Linked DNA regions of Sus scrofa. The protein of the gene in region 2 purifies or fractionates together with the protein of the main gene of each other region. This does not show direct contact. Links are inferred from orthologs where the notes say so. Each region holds a gene or a part of one and is shown on either strand. Other genes may lie near its edges. The genes, in order: HSP90AB1 and BLK.

The links.
Region 1: the proteins of BLK (region 2) and HSP90AB1 purify together in Homo sapiens (affinity purification with mass spectrometry; 3 studies listed by BioGRID and IntAct, with this or other methods). This does not show direct contact. The link is inferred for Sus scrofa from reciprocal best matches to the Homo sapiens genes BLK and HSP90AB1.

What each region holds. Positions count from the first base shown.
Region 1 is NC_010449.5:39,238,738-39,248,930, reverse strand, and holds the start of HSP90AB1 (heat shock protein HSP 90-beta), read right to left. Parts: upstream 5,158-10,193; 5' UTR 4,916-5,157; intron 3,537-4,915; coding exon 3,390-3,536; intron 3,099-3,389; coding exon 2,892-3,098; intron 2,791-2,891; coding exon 2,631-2,790; intron 2,487-2,630; coding exon 2,353-2,486; intron 2,260-2,352; coding exon 1,951-2,259; intron 1,277-1,950; coding exon 1,111-1,276; intron 659-1,110; coding exon 468-658; intron 361-467; coding exon 213-360; intron 86-212; coding exon 1-85. UniProt on the Homo sapiens protein: Molecular chaperone that promotes the maturation, structural maintenance and proper regulation of specific target proteins involved for instance in cell cycle control and signal transduction. Undergoes a functional cycle linked to its ATPase activity.
Region 2 is NC_010456.5:14,683,949-14,693,799, forward strand, and holds the start of BLK (tyrosine-protein kinase Blk), read left to right. Parts: upstream 1-4,540; 5' UTR 4,541-5,175; intron 5,176-9,851. UniProt on the Homo sapiens protein: Non-receptor tyrosine kinase involved in B-lymphocyte development, differentiation and signaling. B-cell receptor (BCR) signaling requires a tight regulation of several protein tyrosine kinases and phosphatases, and associated coreceptors.

The DNA.
Region 1 (10,193 bases), on a different chromosome or scaffold from region 2:
GGCTCTGTCATGTACACCACCTCGAAACCCCGCTTCCGCACACGCTCCACAAACGCAGAGTTGGCAACCTGCTCCTTGCTCTCACCTATAGGATTATTAAATGTGACTCAAGGATCAGAATGCCCCAGCCAGCCAGCTCCCAGGTATCCCTGTGTCCTCCCCTTCTCCTAACACCTGAGAGGCTTTGTGGTCAGGCCCTACGTTCCACTCACCAGTGATATAGTAGATGGACTTCTGGGTCTCCTTCATGCGTGAGACGTACTCTGAGAGAGAAGTCATCTCATCGCCAGACTGGGAGGTATGGTAGCGCAGCAGCTCAGAAAGGCGCCGCCGATTAGTGGAGTCCTCATGGATTCCAAGCTTTAAGGGTGGAAAGGGAAAGTCTTACTAGAAAATAATTATCCCCTACATGAATGAAAAACAGCCATCTTCATCATTAAAAAAGCAAGCATTTGCTGTCTGCTTACCTTTAGATTTTTTGAGAAAGCCTCGTAGAATTTCTTGTAGTTCTCCTTGTCTTCTGCCAGCTCAGAGAAGAGCTCCAGGCACTTCTTAACAATGTTTTTACGAATGACCTTCAAAATCTTGCTCTGCTGGAGCATTTCTCGGGAGATGTTCAGGGGAAGGTCTTCAGAGTCAACCACACCGCGGATGAAGTCTGAAATCAAACATGGATGCTCAGTTAGACACCCCCCCTACAAAAACAAAAAAGTATACACCGCCATCCAGCTGCACCAGTTACACGGCAGAGGACCCTTAGCTTCAGAACAAAGGCTTCATCAGAGTTCCCCATCATGGCGCAGTGGAAATGAATCTGACTAGGAACCATGAGGTTGCAGGTTCAATCGCTGGCCTCGCTCAGTTGGTTAAGGATCTGGCGTTACTGTAAGCTGTGGTGTAGGTCGCAGACTCAGCTCGGACCCTGCGTTACTATGGCTGTGGTGTGGGCTAGCAGTTATAGCTCTGATTTGACCCCTAGCCTGGGAACCTCTCCATATCCTGCAGGTGTGGCCCAGAAGAAAAAAAAAAAAAAAAAAAAAAAAAAAAATCAAGGCTTCAGTTCCTTTGAGAAAGCTGAGACCAACTACATTAGGCAGAGAAGGTACTCACTGAGGTACTCTGGTATCAGCTCATCGCAGCTGTCCATGATGAACACACGGCGAACGTAAAGTTTGATGTTGTTCTTTTTCTTTTTGTTCTCAAAGAGGTCAAAAGGAGCCCGACGGGGGATGAACAGCAATGCTCTGAATTCCAACTGACCTTCTACAGAGAAGTGCTGTGAGAGAAATCCAAGATAAGCCAACTGTGTATTTTAAGAGTGGCTTTTGTCCCAACACCAAATTAAACTATTTGGGGAGTTCCCGTCGTGGCGCAGCGGAAATGAATTTGATGAGGAAACCCTAAGGTCGCATGTTCAATCCCTGGCCTTGCTCAGTGGGTCGAGGACCGAGGGTTGCCATGAGCTGTGGTATAGGTCACAGATGTGGCTTGGATCTAGGGTTGCTGTGGTGTAGGCTGGCAGCTGTAGCTCTGATTAGACTCCTAGGCTGGGAACCTCCATATGCCGTGGGTGCGGCCCTTAAAAAACAAAAAAATTAAGTTATTTAAAAAAAAAAAAAACTATTTGGAAAAAAAGACCTTCCCCCTTAAGCACCAGGAATAGACTAGACTCTATGGTAGCTGTTGAGAAGCCCTAATAATGCCCTAAATGAATCCAACATAGTGCAACCTGTACATAATCCTTGTGTTAACGAGGAAATAGCCAATTCAGAATGCTAGATGGGCAAAGCTGCCAGAGACACAGTGAAGTCCCTGGAGATGTCATTCCCCTGCCCTGGAAGGGTCCATCAGTAGGTGAACTCATGGCATTCCCAGTTCCCAATCAGTTGGGCAAGTGCCACTTGCCCATTACCAACTCTTCCTATTGCGCCAACAAACAAGGCTTCTTACCTTGACTGCCAGGTGATCTTCCCAGTCATTGGTCAGGCTTTTGTAGAACTCTCCATATTCCTCCTGGGTGATGTCATCAGGGTTCCTGGTCCAGATGGGCTTGGTCTTGTTCAGTTCTTCCTGATCAATATACTTCTCCTTGATCTTTTTTGTCTTCTTTTTCTTATCTTTGCCACTATCATCCTCCTCATCTGAGCCCACATCTTCAATCTTGGGCTTCTCCTCATCATCTTTATCTTCCTCCTCTTTATCACCTTTCTCTTCCTCTGCCTCATCATCACTGATTTCTTTCTCACGTTCCTTCTCCAGCTGCAAGTATCAAAGATGAAAATTTCAGACTACAGAAAATAAAAAACCAAGTGTCTCCTGCAGCAGACAATTGAGTTACCAGTTCATACTCACATAAAGTGTGATGGGATAACCTATGAACTGTGAGTGCTTCTTTACCACCTCTTTCACCCGTCTCTCTTCTAAGTATTCTGTCTGGTCCTCCTTAAGATGCAGAATGACCTTGGTACCTCGGCCAATGGGCTCACCTAGAAAGTCAATCAAAACGGAGTGAAAAAGAAAACTAAGTGCTGAACAACAAAGACCAATGTCTCACCATTAGAATGCTCAAGATCTTTACCACTGTTCCCTCAGAATTCTATCCCCGACACCCAACAGGAAAATCAGCCTACCATGGTCAGCACGAACTGTGAAGGAGCCCCCAGCAGAAGACTCCCAGGCATACTGTTCATCATCATTGTGCTTTGTGATCACAACCACTTTCTCTGCCACCAGGTAGGCAGAATAGAAGCCAACACCAAACTGTCCAATCATGGAGATGTCTGCACCAGCCTACCAAAAAGTTTTAAAAAGTCAAACACAAGTTTTGAAGAAACAGCAAACTAAACATCAATGAATATGAATGGTGCATGCCTAGCTGAAATACCACATACCTGAAGAGCCTCCATAAATGCTTTAGTACCAGACTTGGCAATGGTTCCCAAATTATTTATGAGATCAGCTTTGGTCATGCCAATGCCTGTGTCTACCAGAGTCAGGGTGCGCTCCTGGGGGTTGGGGATGATGTCAATTTTCAGCTCTTTACCACTGTCCAATTTGGAAGGGTCTGTCAGGCTCTCATAGCGAATCTTGTCCAAGGCCTGAAAATACAAATTGCAGTTTTACAATTCTGCTTCCACCTCATCCAATAGAAAAAGTTTTTTCCTACTCCCAGATAACCTCATTTCTGATAACCCCTTTCATTTGAAGCTTGAGACGTACATCCAGTTAGAGTACGCCATCTATCCACATAAAGCAAGGCAAAACCTTTTTAGAATTGAAGTTTATATTCCCTTCAAAAATAAAACCCACAAAATGCCCAATCACCCCTCTCCTTCTTTGAAGTACTCGAGAAACAAACAAATGCCAATGAAGACGCTCAGGGAACTCACATCAGAAGCATTACTGATCAACTCCCGAAGAAAAATCTCCTTGTTGGAATAAAAGGTATTGATGATGAGAGACATGAGCTGGGCGATTTCTGCCTGGAAGGCAAAAGTCTCCACTTCCTCCTCGCCATGGTGCACTTCCTCAGGCATCTAAAATAAGAGAGATGAAGAACTTTGGACTCAAGTTCACCCCAATTACAATAAAGACACTAAGAGGTTCAGTTCAAGTTGTTCTGAACCGAGTACTGAGATGCAAGACCTTTCCTTTAAAGACTTCAGGCTGCGCCCTCAGTCTGAGAATAAGAGGGGCGGGGGGGGGGGGGGCTGCTAATACAGCCCCCAAAATGCCTTAAGGTCTCTTAAGCATTTTGTTAGGATGTTAGGCGATCCATCCACGGATCAGCAGCCTCTCATCACCTGGTAATCTCTTAGGCATGCAGAGTACCTCGCCCAACCCCGGTTTCTTAAATGTGAATAAGCAGAAGACCTACATACATATTCAAATGTACAAATTAGTAACTACGGTTCTACCATTTCTGGTGGAGGGGAGGGAGCCCCCCCCCCAAACAGACCAGTTTTACCTTAAAGGGGCTATCATTTGAAACTGCTCTCCCTTCACCTCCAGGAAGATGTGAAATTGCTACCTCACGTGGTAAGGGAGGCTAACGCGAGAGAATCGTGGGATACCCACTTGGGATGCCATTAAGACAAAGAACCGATAAAGCAAAAGGCTCCACTCTGTCCCTGTAGCACACGTGACTGAGGTACAGGACCAAACCAAATACAACTAAGATGGTGGCGTAGTCCGCGGGGCCGACGCTCGTCGATGCCGGACATGCGTCGGCCAGGACCACGCGAGGAGGGGGCGCCACCGCGCAGCCTCCCTTCGCCTCAGCATCCGGGCACCAGGGCGGGGCGCCGAGTTCCAGAACCTTCCAGAACAATTCCAGCCAACGGGGAGAAAAGAGGACGACGAAGAAATGCTCCCATAAATTCTCAAGCCTGCCTCCTCCGCTACCCCTCCACCCTGACTGCAGGAATGAGCTCGAAGCAGGAAGCACGATGGGCCACTGGAGCTCCAAAGCATCCTTTGCCGCAAACCCTCACACTAAGGACTAGAAAAACTCCCTTCTATAAAAGAGATGGCAAAACCTACCCAGAACCATGCTGTGCTGAGTCACACCGGGCCCGCACACCCACCAACCTTGCCCACCCTCTGGCGCCCCGTAGTCGCGTCCGGAAGTAGAGGGGCAAACATGGCAGCGTCCCGGGCCGGCGCGGCTACCACGTGTAGCCGCCCAGTCCCCCAGCCCCACTCGCCCAGGCCTAACAGCCGCCTAGAAGGCCCGACACCAAGCATGGAAGGAAAAGCTAAACTCGAGAGCTCCCTTCCACCCACCCTCTAAAAAAATTGGGAGCGTTGTCCAGCAAACCGCCCCAGCACGACAAAAACTTGGGTCTCAGAAAGGACAGAATGGACGAAAGCAACCTGAAATTTAACCAGAAATGCCTTAAGAGTGCAACCTTACCTTAAAGGATAAGGATCACAAACACCACAAAGCTGAGCGGGGAAGGACTGCCTCCGGCTCTCACGCCAGAACAAGGCTGCGCGGGGGGTGACTCAAGAGAACGGCTGTGAGACCCCAGTCGCTTTATATAAGGCGAAGCACACCTTCGCTGCCCGCCCCCAGATCCCTCCGCCTTAAAGGAGGCTGTCTGTCAGCCCCGCACCTGCCGCTGCCCGCCCACCTTTACGTCATGGTCCAAAATAGGGGAGGGGGCGGTGAAGAGCAAGGGCGCGCATGTGTAGACTTTTTCTTAGTCCCATCTCCGCGTCCTGAAGACAGGACACCACCAGAGCTAGATGTTGGGTATACTCATAGGACAAATGCCGTGGCTCTAGGGAACAGAATCCCCGCTGACCTCAGTAAAAACCTGTAGAGCAGGTGCCTCCACACCAAAGAATCCCAGAGGAACACCTGAAAGGGGACCAACTACTCCCACCTATGCTCCCTCCCTGCTACAATCTTCCTTACACATTCCTACTGCCCAATAAGGGGAAAGGGTCCTTTCCGGGGACACTGGGGAATTTGAAGCCGAACTTTGGGCAGCCCGCGAACCCTGGCACTCCCAGGGGACAATGGGCAGTGCCAGCGTCTCGCTGCGGGGCGTGGCTTCCGCTGCTAGAAGGTCGCCGGCTCGGGTGTGGAGGGCACTCTTTGTCTGCAAGCGGCGGAAGGAGCGACAGTGGCGGTGCTGCGATCTTCCAGCAGTTTCCAGATCCGCCTCTACGGTCCTGTCCCGCCCCGCCCCGCCCTCTTCCCTTGGGGCTCCACCCCTTTTTCTGCGGACTGGGCTGTGCCTCTGCGGCGGCTCCGCCTCTCCAACGTTATGCTTGAATCTCCGGGAGAGGTGGGCAACTTCGATCCTATGTTGCTGGCGGGCAACTACACCCGGCACCCTCTTCGCCACCCGCCAGACCCAGCTCGCTCAGCATTGCGTCCAGGGTGGGGTGGAACAGGGATGATCCCCCCTTTCTCCCCCGTCAGTCACACAGCACACGGGTTATTGGGGCGGCTCTGCGAGAACCGCCTTCGGAGCCGAGACTGAGGGTGGCGTCGCTACCTGAGAAACCCTCCCCAGCCTCTGCAGCCGCCCACGCGTGTCGCACGCAGGGGCATGCACATACAATCTGGTTTCCTTTTCTTTTTACAAAAATTCTTTCCCCTCCTGCAACTGTCTAGGTCTGGGGAGGGGAGGATCTCCAGGGACCCCCGCTGGGTGGCGGGGGTTCTAGGAGGTGGCATGAAGACACCAGCGCCTTCATGCTGGCCAAAGGGCTGCTCGCTCCTGGCGGGCAGAACCAGGTTGTTCCCCTTCAGCTGCTGCGGCGCCGGAGCCCCCAAGCCAAGCGCCGGCCCAGCTGCCTCGCCTGGCCCTGCCGCTTTTGCTTGCCTTCGGGGCGGGTACGCTGTCCTCGCCTTTCCAAGGCCTCATCTCTGGAGCTCACCCGCCCCACAGCCCCTCCGGGAGAGAATGACCGCTCCCTGCGCCGTGACCTTGTGGATGCCCAGCAACTCCCTCAACTCCCTTCGTGGCCCACTTTGTCCGCCCCTGGAATGCTTGGGAGAGGGATACCTCCGACCCGCAGACCTCCCTCGGCAGCCCTGGTGTGCAGTCTTGTAGCACTTCTTTGTCCAGCTGTTGAACTCCAAAGAACAAAGGACCCTCGCGTTCCTTTTCCTTGCCCCACACTCCTGACTTCATCACCCGTGCCACCCCTACCCCGATTTCATGATTTCATCTCTCCTTACTCTTCCACTGCTCTTCTGGTCTAGAAGAAGCCGGTGGCTGGGAGAACTCAAGGAATGTGGGAAGGGGCCTGAGTGCTGCTGCTAGGAACGCCCCAGGATGCTCTGTTCCAAGATGGAAACGGGGAGCATCGTCCCCCAACACACCCTCCCTCCCTCTGGGCAGAAGGGGCCTAGCTAATCAAACACCTGCTCTCTGGTTCACATAGAGCATTCACAGCTCACTGTCCCCTGCCGCCTGAAGGGGTAAAAGTGAGTCTGTGCGTTCTAGGAACCGGGAGAGGAAGGCTTCAGGGAGTACCGCAGGGTGGGTCACCTCGGAGCCTATGCTCCCCTAACGCCCTTGCTCCCTGCTCCAGAAACGGTGTGGGGACGGGTTCCCCTCCCAGGACCCAAGCCCAGGGTGGAGCAAGAATCACTCCTGTCAGGACCAGAACTCCTCAGGGGGGGTTCTAATGGGAAAAATCTCAAATCTCTTACACCAGCACAGAAATCCTACCTTCTCTTCTGGGAGTCTTCCAGGATGGTTTCTCCAGCTCTTTGACACTCACTCAGCCCCCACTGTGAGCTTTGCCTGGGGAAGCAGAGATGCATAAACAGGACAAGGCACCCTCAGCCCACTGGGGGGAGCTGCAGCAGACCAAGTGTGAAGCCTGGGAGACGCATCAGTTTCCCAGCACGGCCTGGGGAAGAGGGCGGGCTCGGGGCTAGCCAGGCCCGGGGGCACAGGTCTACTCCCAGCAGAGGAAAAGCATGGAAAGGCACAGCACTGAGAGAGGAACCTCAGGGAGGCAGGGACTGAAAGTGGCCCCACATTCCCAGGTCAGGTCACAGAGGGCCACAATGCCATGCTAAGCAGTTCTGACTTTAACTTAGGATGAGGGAAGCCACTGAGGGCTATTAAAGATGGCTTAAACCCCCTGGATCTCCAGAGGCCTATTCCCAGCATCACTTGCAATCCTTTATGTTCCTAAGATACCCTTTTCCCAACCAAGCTTCAAAGACCCAGCCCAACCTGCTGTTGGAGAGTGGCCAGAAGAAGCAGCACTCACAAACTGTAGTCTGCAGCTGGGGGCATTTGTTTTCATGTGGCTAATGGATAAGAATGCTTTTTCCGGAGTTCCCGTCGTGGCGCAGTGGTTAACGAATCCGACTAAGAACCATGAGGTTGCGGGTTCGATCCGTGCCCTTGCTCAGTGGGTTAACGATCTGGCGTTGCCGTGAGCTGTGGTGTAGGTTGCAGACGCGGCTCGGATCCTGCGTTGCTGTGGCTCTGGCGTAGGCCTGTGGCTACAGCTCCGATTCGACCCCTAGCCTGGGAACCTCCATATGCCCTGGGAGCGGCCCAAGAAATGGCAAAAAGACAAAAAAAAAAAAAAAAAAAAAAAAGTAGAATGCTTTTTCCTTTTTTCCTTTTTTTTTTTTTTTTTTTTTTTTTTTTTTTGCTTTTTAGGGCTGAACCTGCAGCGTATGGAAGTTCCTAGGCTAGGGGTCGAATCGGAGCTGCAGCTGCCAGCCAACACCACAGCCACAGCAACACCAAACACAAGCCACATCTGTGACTTATGCCGCAGCTCAAGGCAGCACAAGATCCTTAACCCACTGAGCAAGGCCAGGGATGGAACCTACATCCTCATGGATACTAGTTGGGTTCATTACTGCTGAGCCACAACAGAAACTCCACTTTTTCCTCTCTTTAATGGTTGAAAATAATCAAAAGATATTTTTGGCAGGTGAAAATTATATGAACTTTGAGTTGTGTTTGCAAAGTTTTACTGAAACACAGCTATGCTCAGCTCATTTGTTTACATGTTATCTTTGGCTAGTTTCATATTGGGATGGGGAATTGTGACATTACACACACACACACACACACACACACACACACATCATGGCTACACCCTCAGCATATGGAAGTTCCCTTGCCAGGGACTGAATCCAAGCTGTGACCTATGCCACAGCCATGGCAACACTGGCTCCTTTAACCTACTGTGCCTGGCCAGGGATCAAACCCAAGGCACCAAAAACACACCAATGGGTTAACGCTGTGCCACAGTGGGAACACCATCTTTTTCTATTTTCTTAACTTTAACACTCAGCACGTTAAATTTCAGCTTTTCCCTTTTCTGGCATAAGGATTTAAGGCCATAAATTTCTTGTCAAGAAAAATTTTAGCTGCCCTCCAAGTTTCAGTATATAGTATTTTTATTATAATTCCATTTTAAGGATTTGGGTTCCTTTTATGGTATCTTTGTTGATCAATTTTAAAGTGTTTAAAATATTAAATTGCTTCATTATCCTTCCATTATGTTGTAGGTATACAATAGTGTGTATGATACTTATCTCTTGTATCTGAGACTTCGTTTGTAACCTAGAATTGGTTAATATTTATAAAAGCTGGAGTTCCCGTCGTGGCGCAGTGGTTAACGAATCCGACTAGGAACCATGAGGTTGCGGGTTCGGTCCCTGCCCTTGCTCAGTGGGTTAACGATCCGGCGTTGCCGTGAGCTGTGGTGTAGGTTGCAGACGCGGCTCGGATCCCGCGTTGCTGTGGCTCTGGCGTAGGCCGGTGGCTACAGCTCCGATTGGACCCCTAGCCTGGGAACCTCCATATGCCGAGGGAGCGGCCCAAGAAATACCAACAACAACAACAACAACAACAACAACAACAACAACAAAAAATTTATAAAAGCTCCATGAATGTTTGAGAAAAAATATATTATCTAGTTGTTGGATATGCTAAATATGTTAAATCTATTAAATCAAGCCAGTTAATTGTGTTGTTCCAAACAAACAAACAAAATAAAACACTTAAAAAAAAGTTCCCTTGGTGGCTCAGCAGTTAACGAACCCGACTAGGATCCATGAGGATGCGGGTTCAATCCCTGGCATTAGTGGGTTAAGGATCTGACATTGCCATGAGCTATGGTATAGGTTGCAGGCGCGGCTCAGATCCCCCGTTGCTGTGGCTGTGGTGTAGACTGGCAGCTGTAGCTACAACTGGACCCCTAGCCTGGGAACTTTCATATGCTGACGGTGCAGCCCTAAAAAGCAAAAAAAAAAAAAAAAAAAAAAAAAGCAAACCTCGGAGGACTTCCTGTTGTGGCTCAGTGGATTAAGAACATAATGTGGTGTCCACGAGGACATGGGTTTGATCCCTGGCCTTGCTCAGTGGGTTAAAGATCCGGCGTTGCTGCAAGCTGCAGTGTAGGTCGGAGATGTGACTTGGATCTGGCATTGCTGTGGCTGTAGTGTAGGCCAGCAACCGCAGCTCTGATTCAACCCCTAGCCTGGGAATCTCCATATGTCATGGGTACAGCTGTATGAAGTAGGGAAAAAAACACTGTAAAACAAACAAAACACTTGAAAACTCCCAGGGATACAGCTTGCAGAAGGGTGAGGCTGAAGCGGGGGGGCTCACACAGGGGTGGAAGAGGCACTGTATGCCTTTTCTTTTTTTTTTTAATTAAAAAAAATTTTTTGGTCTTTTTAGGGC
Region 2 (9,851 bases):
GGGAGCACTGCAGTGGCCTCTTCTCCAGGGAGGCACAGCAGGATGGACTCTAAGCAGCTCCATTTGCTGGGGTCAGTGTCCACAAAGACTGTGGAGGTCCTTGGCAACGAAAGCTTTGGGTGTCTCTGTGGTGACAAGGGCCGCTATGACCTTCCTGATCTCCTTTCCCCCCCGTGTGGGAAGGTTATGCTCAGGGCCTCCCTCTTGGCACTGAGCTGTGCCAGACTAGGGGAGGGGGACCCGGGGAAGCTGATGTCCTATGCTTTTCCAAGCAGCCATCGTCAGGTTTTGTGCTCCACTGACTCGCTGCAAATTCGTTCTTTCATTCGGAGTTCTCCCAGTGCTGTTTTCATCTGTTTTTAGTCCTTTATTCATTACTTTGGGGTGGGAGAGGAGGTTGGTAAGGACGAGCACTGGGTTGTCCTAGTGAACTAACTTGCTGAGATCACTTCTCCTCTTTCCTTTGTAAATGTCCTTAATTTTTTTTCTTCCTGTTTATTCTAGTGCATCTTCATTTTTTTTTTTTTCTTTTTACAGCTGAACCTGTGGCATATGGAAGTTCCCAGGTCAGGGGTCGAACTGGAGCTATATCACAGCCACAGCAACACGGGATCTGAGCTGCCTTTTCGATCTATGCCTCAGCTTGCAGCAACGCCGGATCCTTAACCCACTAAGTGAGGCCTGGGATCGAACCTGCATCCTCACAGAGACTAAGTTGAGTTCTTAACCCGCTGAGCCACAACGGGAACTCCTCTAGTATATCTTCAATTTGTCACACTCTAAGTTAAATTAATACTGATTTTTTTGGTGAAAAAAAAGAAACCCTGCACAAGTATAGCTTCATTTCTTACCCCCTTCTCTGTGCTATTATTGTCATATATATTTATATGCATTACAAACCCACAGTATGACGTTATAATTTCTACTTTGAGCAACCATATGTGTTTTTTAAATTGAGAAGATATTACATTATTATATATTTTTAAATTTACTCACAAACTTGCCATTTCTGGTGATTTTCATTTCTTTTTGTGAACCGGTTATCATCTGGTATCATTTTCTTTCAGTCAGAATGATTTCCTTTAGTTTTTTGTTATTATTTTGTGAATTTTTTAAGGGAGAATTGCAAAGAGTTTTATATTTATTTATTTATTTATTTTGCTTGTTTAGGGCCACACCTGCAGCAAATGGAGGTTCCCAGGCTAGGGGTCCAATCAGAGCTGTAACCGCTGGCCTACGCCACAGCCACAGCAACTCAGGATCCTTAACCCGTGGAGCAAGGCCAGGGATCGAACCCACAACCTCATGGTTCCTAGTCGGATTCACTTCTGCTGTGCCATGATGGGAACTCCTGTTAATTTTTTAAAATGAGCTTTTCTGTATTTGAATTGCAAAGTTGGTATTCTTCATGGTGTGTGGTCATTGATATCACTGTGCAGCTTTTACATTTAATATTTTACTTTGTTTTTAGTCTGGTTCCCTAAAAGCATCCCCTGTTTGTGCACTATTAATGGTCAGCCAATTACCTCGCAGGAGTTATGCTCAGAAACCTTGAACATAAACCTTCGCCTTCTGCTGCCTGAGCTGTGTGTGGTTGGAGGAGTAAATGCAAATCTACATTAAGTCCTCAGGTCTCCCTGGGCTTTCGATTTTTCTACACTCTGGTCTCCCTGACTCGTGTGTATTTTAGGAGTCAGTCAGGGACGCATGGGGTGTTTGTTATCTCAGCCCCTTCGTGGCTCTCTGACTTCCAGGGTTTCCCTCATTAACCTGCCTGGGTGACCTTTGACCCATTCTGAGCGGAGGTTACATTCTCAAGCCAGTAAAGCTGCAGATTTTCACTTGGGTCTTGAACTTGGGTCTCGATTCCATGACCTTTAACCCATAAACGGCAAGTTCTCATCACCCCATTCCAGACCAGATCTGTCACTTCCAGCTGGTGGCTGGTTTTCACAAACAGCCACCCAACAAGCCCATCATTCCCACAGGTGAAGCTGGGGTTCTTATCACCCGAGCTGAAGTGTGAGGCTGGGGGGCAGGTAGAACTTCTAAGTGAGAAGGCCACAGATTCTTGGCCATTCTGATACAGGAGCAGTTTTTCAAGATTAAACACGTCTCAATTTGTCATCTGCCTTTGGTCCTGCTCCAGTGCCTTCCAATGGTTGGTTTTGACAGCTTTATCTGGTTTTATACTTTTTTTTTTTTTTTTTTTTAGAGGGAAATCAACCAGCTTCTCACACCACCATTCCTAAGTCAGTCTTGGACTGGATTATTTTTAATGTTTCTTCTATTCAAATATTCTATTGCTCACAGTTTTGATTTTTTTTTTTTTTTCCAGAAATGTATTGATGTCAGAAGGCTGGTGAAGACGCACGGAAGGACAGCTCCGGGTTTTGCATAAGGCACCTCAAATGTGCAAAAATAAATGGGGGAGCCAGTGAAGCTGAACGCTGAGCTGGGGATTTCAGAGCCCTCACTGAGGTTCTCTAACACCAGTTTCTGCAAAGGACACCCCTGTCCTCACCTAACATGTCCTGCGGCTTCCCATCTTCTCCCCCTGGGTCCTTCCCAACCTCCCCCAGCCTATCTCCCTTTCTCATGGATTCTCTGACTCTGCCAGGGTGAAAATGGCTGCAAGGAACTTTCACTTCTGCTCAAACAAGAAACCCAAGAGCAAGGTCATTTCCTTGTTCTTTTCTGAGTGGCTGCTGGATCCATTTTTTTTTGACTTGTCTGTTGGGGGTGGACAGAAAGGTAAAGTTTCTTTTTCCTCAGATCATATGAAAGCCAGTTTACCTGAACTGCCTTCTCTGCAACCTTCTCACATCCCCTTTCACTCTAACTTTGAATATATGAGTCAGAGTCTAAGGGGAATGGATTTTTTCTGTAGAAAGGTGGAGTCCCTGCTTCCCACTGTCTTCTCTGTATCCTCAGATTCAAATGTATAAGGGCTGTTCAAAACCCACTAATTTAAGCCCCAAAGATTTACACACACACACACACACACACACACCAGGAAGTTCCTCTTGTGGCTCAGTGGTCACAAACCTGACTGTATCCATGAGAACACAGGTCAATCCCTGGCCTCACTCGGTAGGTTAAGAATCTGGCATTGCTGTGGCTGTAGCATAGGCTGGCAGCTGCAGCTCTGATTCGACCCCTAGCCTGGGACCCCTATGCCACTGGTGCAGACCTTAAAAGAAAGAAAGAAAACAAACAAAAATACATTAGGTGTAATTCAGTCCGTGTCACTGGACCCTTGGTCAGTAAAAGGGGATCTCAGCACAGGTATCTGCCTCTGAGAGTCTGAAGGATCCTTAGTGACAAGCTGTGTTCAAAGCAGTTTCCTTGGTAACGTCCCCTAATAACCCCTGATAGAGATATTGTTTCTGCCCCTGTTCCAATACTGTGCCTCATAAAGGCATCTATGGCTGCGCTTACCACACCCCATGATAGTCTTCTCTCTACCAGACCCCTTCCCAGCCTCTTTAGTCTGAGCCCCTCCAAGGACAGGCTTGCCTATTTAGAGCTGAGAGCTGTGCCCCTAGCCTCTAATGTGTGCTTACCCACAAAGCAACAATCACAAAAGTTTATTGTGTTAATTGAATTGAAATAACAAAACCGAATAATCTCCCCTCAAATCAGTAGCTTTTAAATCATAAGTTTCAGGAGTTTGGGAGTGTTTGAACTTGTATTTAAATGCTTAGGTCCAATGTAAGTCAGGTGTCAGGAAGTGAATTCAAAAATAATTAATAACACCTACGATTCACTGAGCACAGCCATGTCTGAGCACTGTTCTGAGCCCCTTGCTCTCAAGGATGTAACAAGACAAAGCAGGTTTTTTTGAAGATCAGATTTGGGACTTAGATGACATGCTCATGTCAGCAACCGGTTATTCAGAGTTTACTATGCTAAAGATTGTAATGGAAACTTTTTATACATCAACTCACTTATTCTCACAAAAGCCTTTTGGGAGAAATGAAGCAGATTGTTTCTAAGGAAGCTTAGAACCCAAGAACTCTGTTGCTGCTGTGGTTGCTAGGAACACCTGGCAAAAAGCTCTTTCTTACTAGGAATTCACAGAGCTTTATTGTCTTAGTCCTAAGCTCCAAGGAGAGAAACTCCATGGGGAAGCAGAGATTCTGGACTGTGGTCCCAGGTCAGGAGTAGAGGCAGATACAGACCTGTCTGAATTCCCTCCCCACTCCCACCATCTGTGATGTAAAGGCAGGAGAGGAGACTCTTGGTCCCCTTTGGTCCATGGGTCAGAAAGAAGCAGGTGGCCAGTGACTCACTCTGTCCAGCTGGACCAGCAAGCCTCCAGAGGTCATCTCAGCAGGCTTCTTGGACCTGCTGGTCCCTCAGCCAGTGGGACTGAGATGTTAGGGCCCTTCCCCATCACCATCGTCATTCTCTGCACCTCTGCGTTGTCACAGCTGAGTAAAGTAACATAATTGATGAGGCTCTGAGCTCAGAACTGAGGACTGGCTAGAATGCTGTAAACAACGGGGAATTAGCCAGTTCTGTGCCATCACTCACCCATTCCATTGTCTGTGCCCTTTGTACCTCACGGGCTAAGGACCATCAGGCCTATTCAGAAGACAACACAAAACCCGCGAGCCTGGGAGAAGGGCTGCCCTGCTTACGTACGTGGCACAGGCAGCAGAGGCCAAGCTCTTCCTTGGCTGGCCGACAAACATCGCAAGGCAGAGCCCAACACCTTGCAGAGTTAGCTTGGAGGTTTACTAACTCTGCCAGGCTCACTGCAGGAAAAACACCATCCTTGTTGTTGAACCCAAACCCCAATAGAAGACGTTCTGGGGGCAGCGGGGCATTGTGACGGACGTGGCCCATCCAGAGGAAGACCAGCTGCTCATGGTCCTTCTTCATAGGCTTTTCCTGGACCCAGTAAGCCCACGGAAGCTTTCAAAGGGCTTGGCGGGAGGGGCGGGGCTCCTTGGGGGCAGCTGTGACCACAGACCGGGGAGCCTGCCACCTCAGCTGGGTGCTTGCCGACGGCAGGAAGCCACGAGCCGCTGTACTAATCAAGGCGCCCGGGATGGGCTCGGCCTTCAGGATTGCTTCGGGAATCGCTGGCTGTAGCTGGAAGGTCACTGCACCGCAGGGCAGGGGGATCTGAAGAGCTATGGTGAGAGGCCACTGAATACTGCCAAGGTAAGTCGCGTCTGCCGCCCTCCTGCTGTCTCCTTTCCTCAGATGATGCAAACAGTGCCTGGAGCCTGTAGGTGGGACATCGGGCAGGAACATCGCTATGGGTGGTACCCTACAGAGAAGATGTTCCCATGAGCCCGTGTATAGATGGCTCTATTGTTTGTTCATTTCTATTTTAGAGAGTTTTTTTGATTTATAAAAGCTCATCCATCTAGGGTGAGGCTTTCTAAGCTAGTAAAGGCAGTGAAGGCGCTGCAGAGGAAAGACAGGAGGAGGCTGCGGGTGGGAGATGGGTGGGCACCTGGGGGTTCGGGACAAGTCACTTAGCCTCCCTCTAAGGCATGATATAGGATGCCACAGTGCAGAGCTGCTGGAGGCCGGCAGAGATGCATGGCAGTGTCTGGCTCAAGGTCAATGATGACTCGCTGCTTTTCTTTCATTTTTTTTTTTTTTAGTAAGATTTTCCATTTTTCAGACATGGGTGGGGTGGGGTGATGGAATAGGTTTAGCCGTGGCCTTTTTGGCTAAGAGATCTATGTAGCCAACTGTGAAAAGGCAAGAAGAGTTGATAACATATTTTAAGAGGATTTTTAAAGTTCTAGGGTTTTGACAACTTTTCCAGTTGTTTTCTAACTGGCCACTGTGTTCACCCTCAACTGCCCACACTACCAAGGACCAAAAGACTTGTTATCACTGCACTTCCGTAGTTATAGAGAAGAATCCCAAGTGATAGATGCAGGGAGCTGGAATCCCCTCAGCCTGAAAAGGATGGGTCTTAGTAGAGAGAATGGAGAGGGCAATGGTAATGCTGAGGTGGAGGATCCTGGCCACAGCGCCCCAACCACATGGTCAAGGTCAGCACCTCCACAGATCAGTCATGATGTCTTTATTGTGTGACTTTGGCTGCACAGAGCAAAGTACTTCACCTCTGTACTATTCATTCCCCAAACCCAAAATCCCAGTCAAGTCAAGAGAAAACATCAGAAAAACCCAAACTGAGGGACAGTCTACAGACTATTTGACCCTCAAAATCACCAAGGTTGTGACAAGCCAGGAAAGATGGGGAAACTGTCCAATATCAGAGGGGTATAAATAGGAAATTCACATCCAGGTTGATTGGAATCCTGGAGCAACAACAAAGTCATCAGTGGACAATAGGTGAGCTCTAGATAAAGTCTGGACATTAATGACAATCGTTGTACTGATGCGACTTTCTTAGTTTTGGCAAATGTGCCACCGTCAAGTAAGATGCCAGCATTGGGGGAAGCTGGGTGAAGGATGTGCAAGCAGTCTCTATCTTATCTTTGTAATTTTTCTGTAAGCCTAAAATTATTCCAAAGTAAAAAGCTAAAAAACAAACAAACTATGCTCATCCTGCCTTGCATCAAAAATGGTCAAAGCCTGAGCATACTTAGAAAAACTGGCATCCTGGGCCCCACTTTCTCTTTGAACATTCTGGAACACAGCAGTTCTGGCTTTTTTTTTTTTTTTTTTTTTTTTACCATTCTCTCTCCCAGCCCTCACCTTATTCCCAGAAAGCTCTATGCTTTCCTCTCTTCTGTTACTTCTGAAATTTATTTTTCTCACTCTGTGTCAGGGGGTTTAGGGCCAAGGACCCCATCTCGGTCTCCGGGCGGGGCTCACTGCGTGGGACCAGGCTCTTGTGCCTCAAGCTAGCGCTGAGCCCGACCCCTCCCCAGTGAGGAAGCGAGCGCTGAGCGTGGAGGCCGGTCAGTGTCCAGCCCCTGCGTGACATATCCAGATGGAATCTGCAGTGCTCTGGGCTCAGCCATCCGCAGAATGTGTGCTGTGCTGTGAGCTGTGCTAGAAAACTCCCTCGTGAGCGATGCTGTGGCTTAAGGGATATAGAGTAGGACGGGAACCCTGAGAGCCAGCTCCTGCTTGGGTGACAACCTGGCCTCTGAGCACCAACCCCCCTCCCACTCCCTCACCGGCCTGCCTAGAACCTGCAGTAGCAAGATGCAACCACCAGGGGCAGCATCCTTCCTTGTAAGGATGTTTGGGGAGATACTGGAAGACAGAGAAGCCCGACCCCCGCCCATAAGAGACACAGACACACACACACACACACACACACACACACACACACACACACACGAGCGCGCGCGCGCGCGCGCCCGGCAGAGCAGGTGTGCTCTTGTTCAAAGGCGATGTCTCAGCGAGATTAGAGAAACGCTTCCGAAGCAAGCAAGAAAGAAGAAAGAATTATGAAGCTGTGGGGAGATAGTGTTTAGATGAAAATCATAACACTTAGATGAAGATCAAAACTGAAAAGTGTTGATTACCACTGGGCCTAAAGTCCCTTTCCTGTCGCATCTCCTGCTCCCCCACTTCTTCGGGAACGCACCTGCTGTGCACCTGCTTGTCCCTCTGCCTGGGCTCCCTCCCCCTTCTCTCACCCAGGCAAGTCCCACTGGCCTGATTCTTGGGATCCGTGCCAACATCTTCTCCTCTGTCAGCAGTGCCCAAACCCCTCCCTGTGTCTACATGGCCTCCAGGATAGGCTTAGGGCTATTTGCTTGCGGTTCTGCTGCCCCTCTGGACCTGAGCTTCTCCAGGATAGGGATAAGCCCCTCCCTCCGTCCAACTCTCGGTCCCAGCACCCAGAACACTGCCTGCCACAGGGTGGGCACCCTGTGAAATGGTTCTTGAATGAAAGAAATAAGGACACACTTGTGAACACAAATGAAGGTCAAGACACGAGGAGGAAAGCTTGAAGGAGAAAAAGCGTGTGAGATTTCCCATTACCTTTGCCATACTGAGCTCCAAGGCCATTGCCACACTGGAGTTTTAATGGAGGGCGGCGGTGGGGGGGGGGGGTCCTGCAGAAAGAGATGGGGTGAACTAGGTTTCTGGCATGTTATGCTCCTGCCAGAGGAGGGCGCTGGGCTTCAGGGCCAGCCAGTTCCACACCTAGACCTGGCTCTGCCACTTGCCGTCTGAGGAGCTGGGGGAGTGTGAGCAAATGGTCCAGCTCTCTGTGAAGTGGGAACAGTTGCACCCAGCTCCAGGCACAGAGTGAGAGCTACACTGAGCAAGGTGATTGGAGTACAGAGGCTCTATCCCCATCCCTGCTGTCCCTGAGAGGCCTGGACTCCCCATCGGCTGCTGTGTAGCTCACAGGTGCTCCCTCACCCAAGGGGTGATGCTTCCGAAACCATGGAGGTAGAAAGCGGTTCTCTGAGTGCTTGTCACCACCACTCTGCTGCCTCTTTGCACACCTTGTTACCTGGGTTGCTGCTCTGGGACCAGGGTGAGGCAGGTGAGGCTCTGGGGCTGCAGAATTTAAAGAGCTGCTCCCACTCAAGGTCACCTATGTGCAGGGGATGGCCGCGTGTGTTCACTTGTGTATACACAGGTACGAGGCGATAAGTGCTAAGTGGATTAAATCAGGTGTTCTGACTTTGAGGTCATAGACTCCTGATAAGTGTCATGGGGTCTATGACTCTCTGAACTTGTATGCAAGTTTTTGTGGACACGTGCGTTCTGCCATAAAGGGCGTTTATGGCTTTGGTCAGATTCCCCAAAGGATCTGCTCACCCCAAAATATTTGGAATCCCCAAGTTCAGTATTTAGGAAGGATACTTTGTCTCTCGCTGTGCTGTAGGTACGAGAAGTTGGAGGCACAGGAGAAAGACAAGTAGCCGTGCCTGAGAGGTGAGGTGCCTCAGCTTACAGAATGGAGGGCCTAAGTTCAAGGCCCTGTCCTGCCGCTTCTGGACTTTGGATTTCAGTCACTAATTTTCTTCCTGAAATAACAGTTGTTTGACCTCAGTCTATATTGGTGTCCTTACCTACCTCAGAAATGACATATACTCTCTAGGCTCATTTCTCTATTTGTTGATAATAGCACATCACAGTGTCATAAGAATTACGCCCCAAAGCCCTAATTCTTTGATGAGTTGAAACTGAAGAGGACACAGTATTTCCATCTAGGTTCTGATCAATTCTCCACGTAAGAGGAGTACTTGTAATGGGAAAAGGCACATTTCACACTGTAACATCTTAGATTTACTTATAGGCACAGTATTTATGTCTTGAAATCTCGAAAAGCGACAGTGCGATTTCGTTTCTCAAAAGAGGAAATGGGTTTGTAATAAGATCGAGAGACAAGAATCTAGGTATTTGAGATGCTCCCCAGGGTGTGAGAGCTGCATGTCTGGATCTCAGGGCTGGGGCGTTCAGGGAATAGCGCTGTGAATCAGACCTAGGCCCCCTTCTTGGAGAGGACGAGCTGTGCTCGGCGGATGCTCAAGGCTCCTGGAAGGAACAAGGAAGGACCTGGCGTCACTGCTGCGATGCTATTGAGACCCCACCCCCACCTCTGCCGCCCACCATAGGCCTCAGAACACCTAAAAGGAGCCACGGGAGAATTACTCTCAGACTTCAGACCTGGGAAACCCACTGAGCAACCGATACCAGCTCTTCCAATTGATCACTTCTCTCCCGTGACTTCAGACTCTAAGACACTTTGAGCCAAATTTGCATCTAGCCACGAACAGTTAAGTAGCCCCATCTCAGGGTCTGTATTTCTGTGTACCAGCCTTACTGCCAAATTTGCTTTCCTGCCCTAACCTATCCTTTGCTCTGATTTCTTCATCTATTTTTCTCTCATATTTATGTATTTATTTCATATTTATTTATTTATTTATTTTACA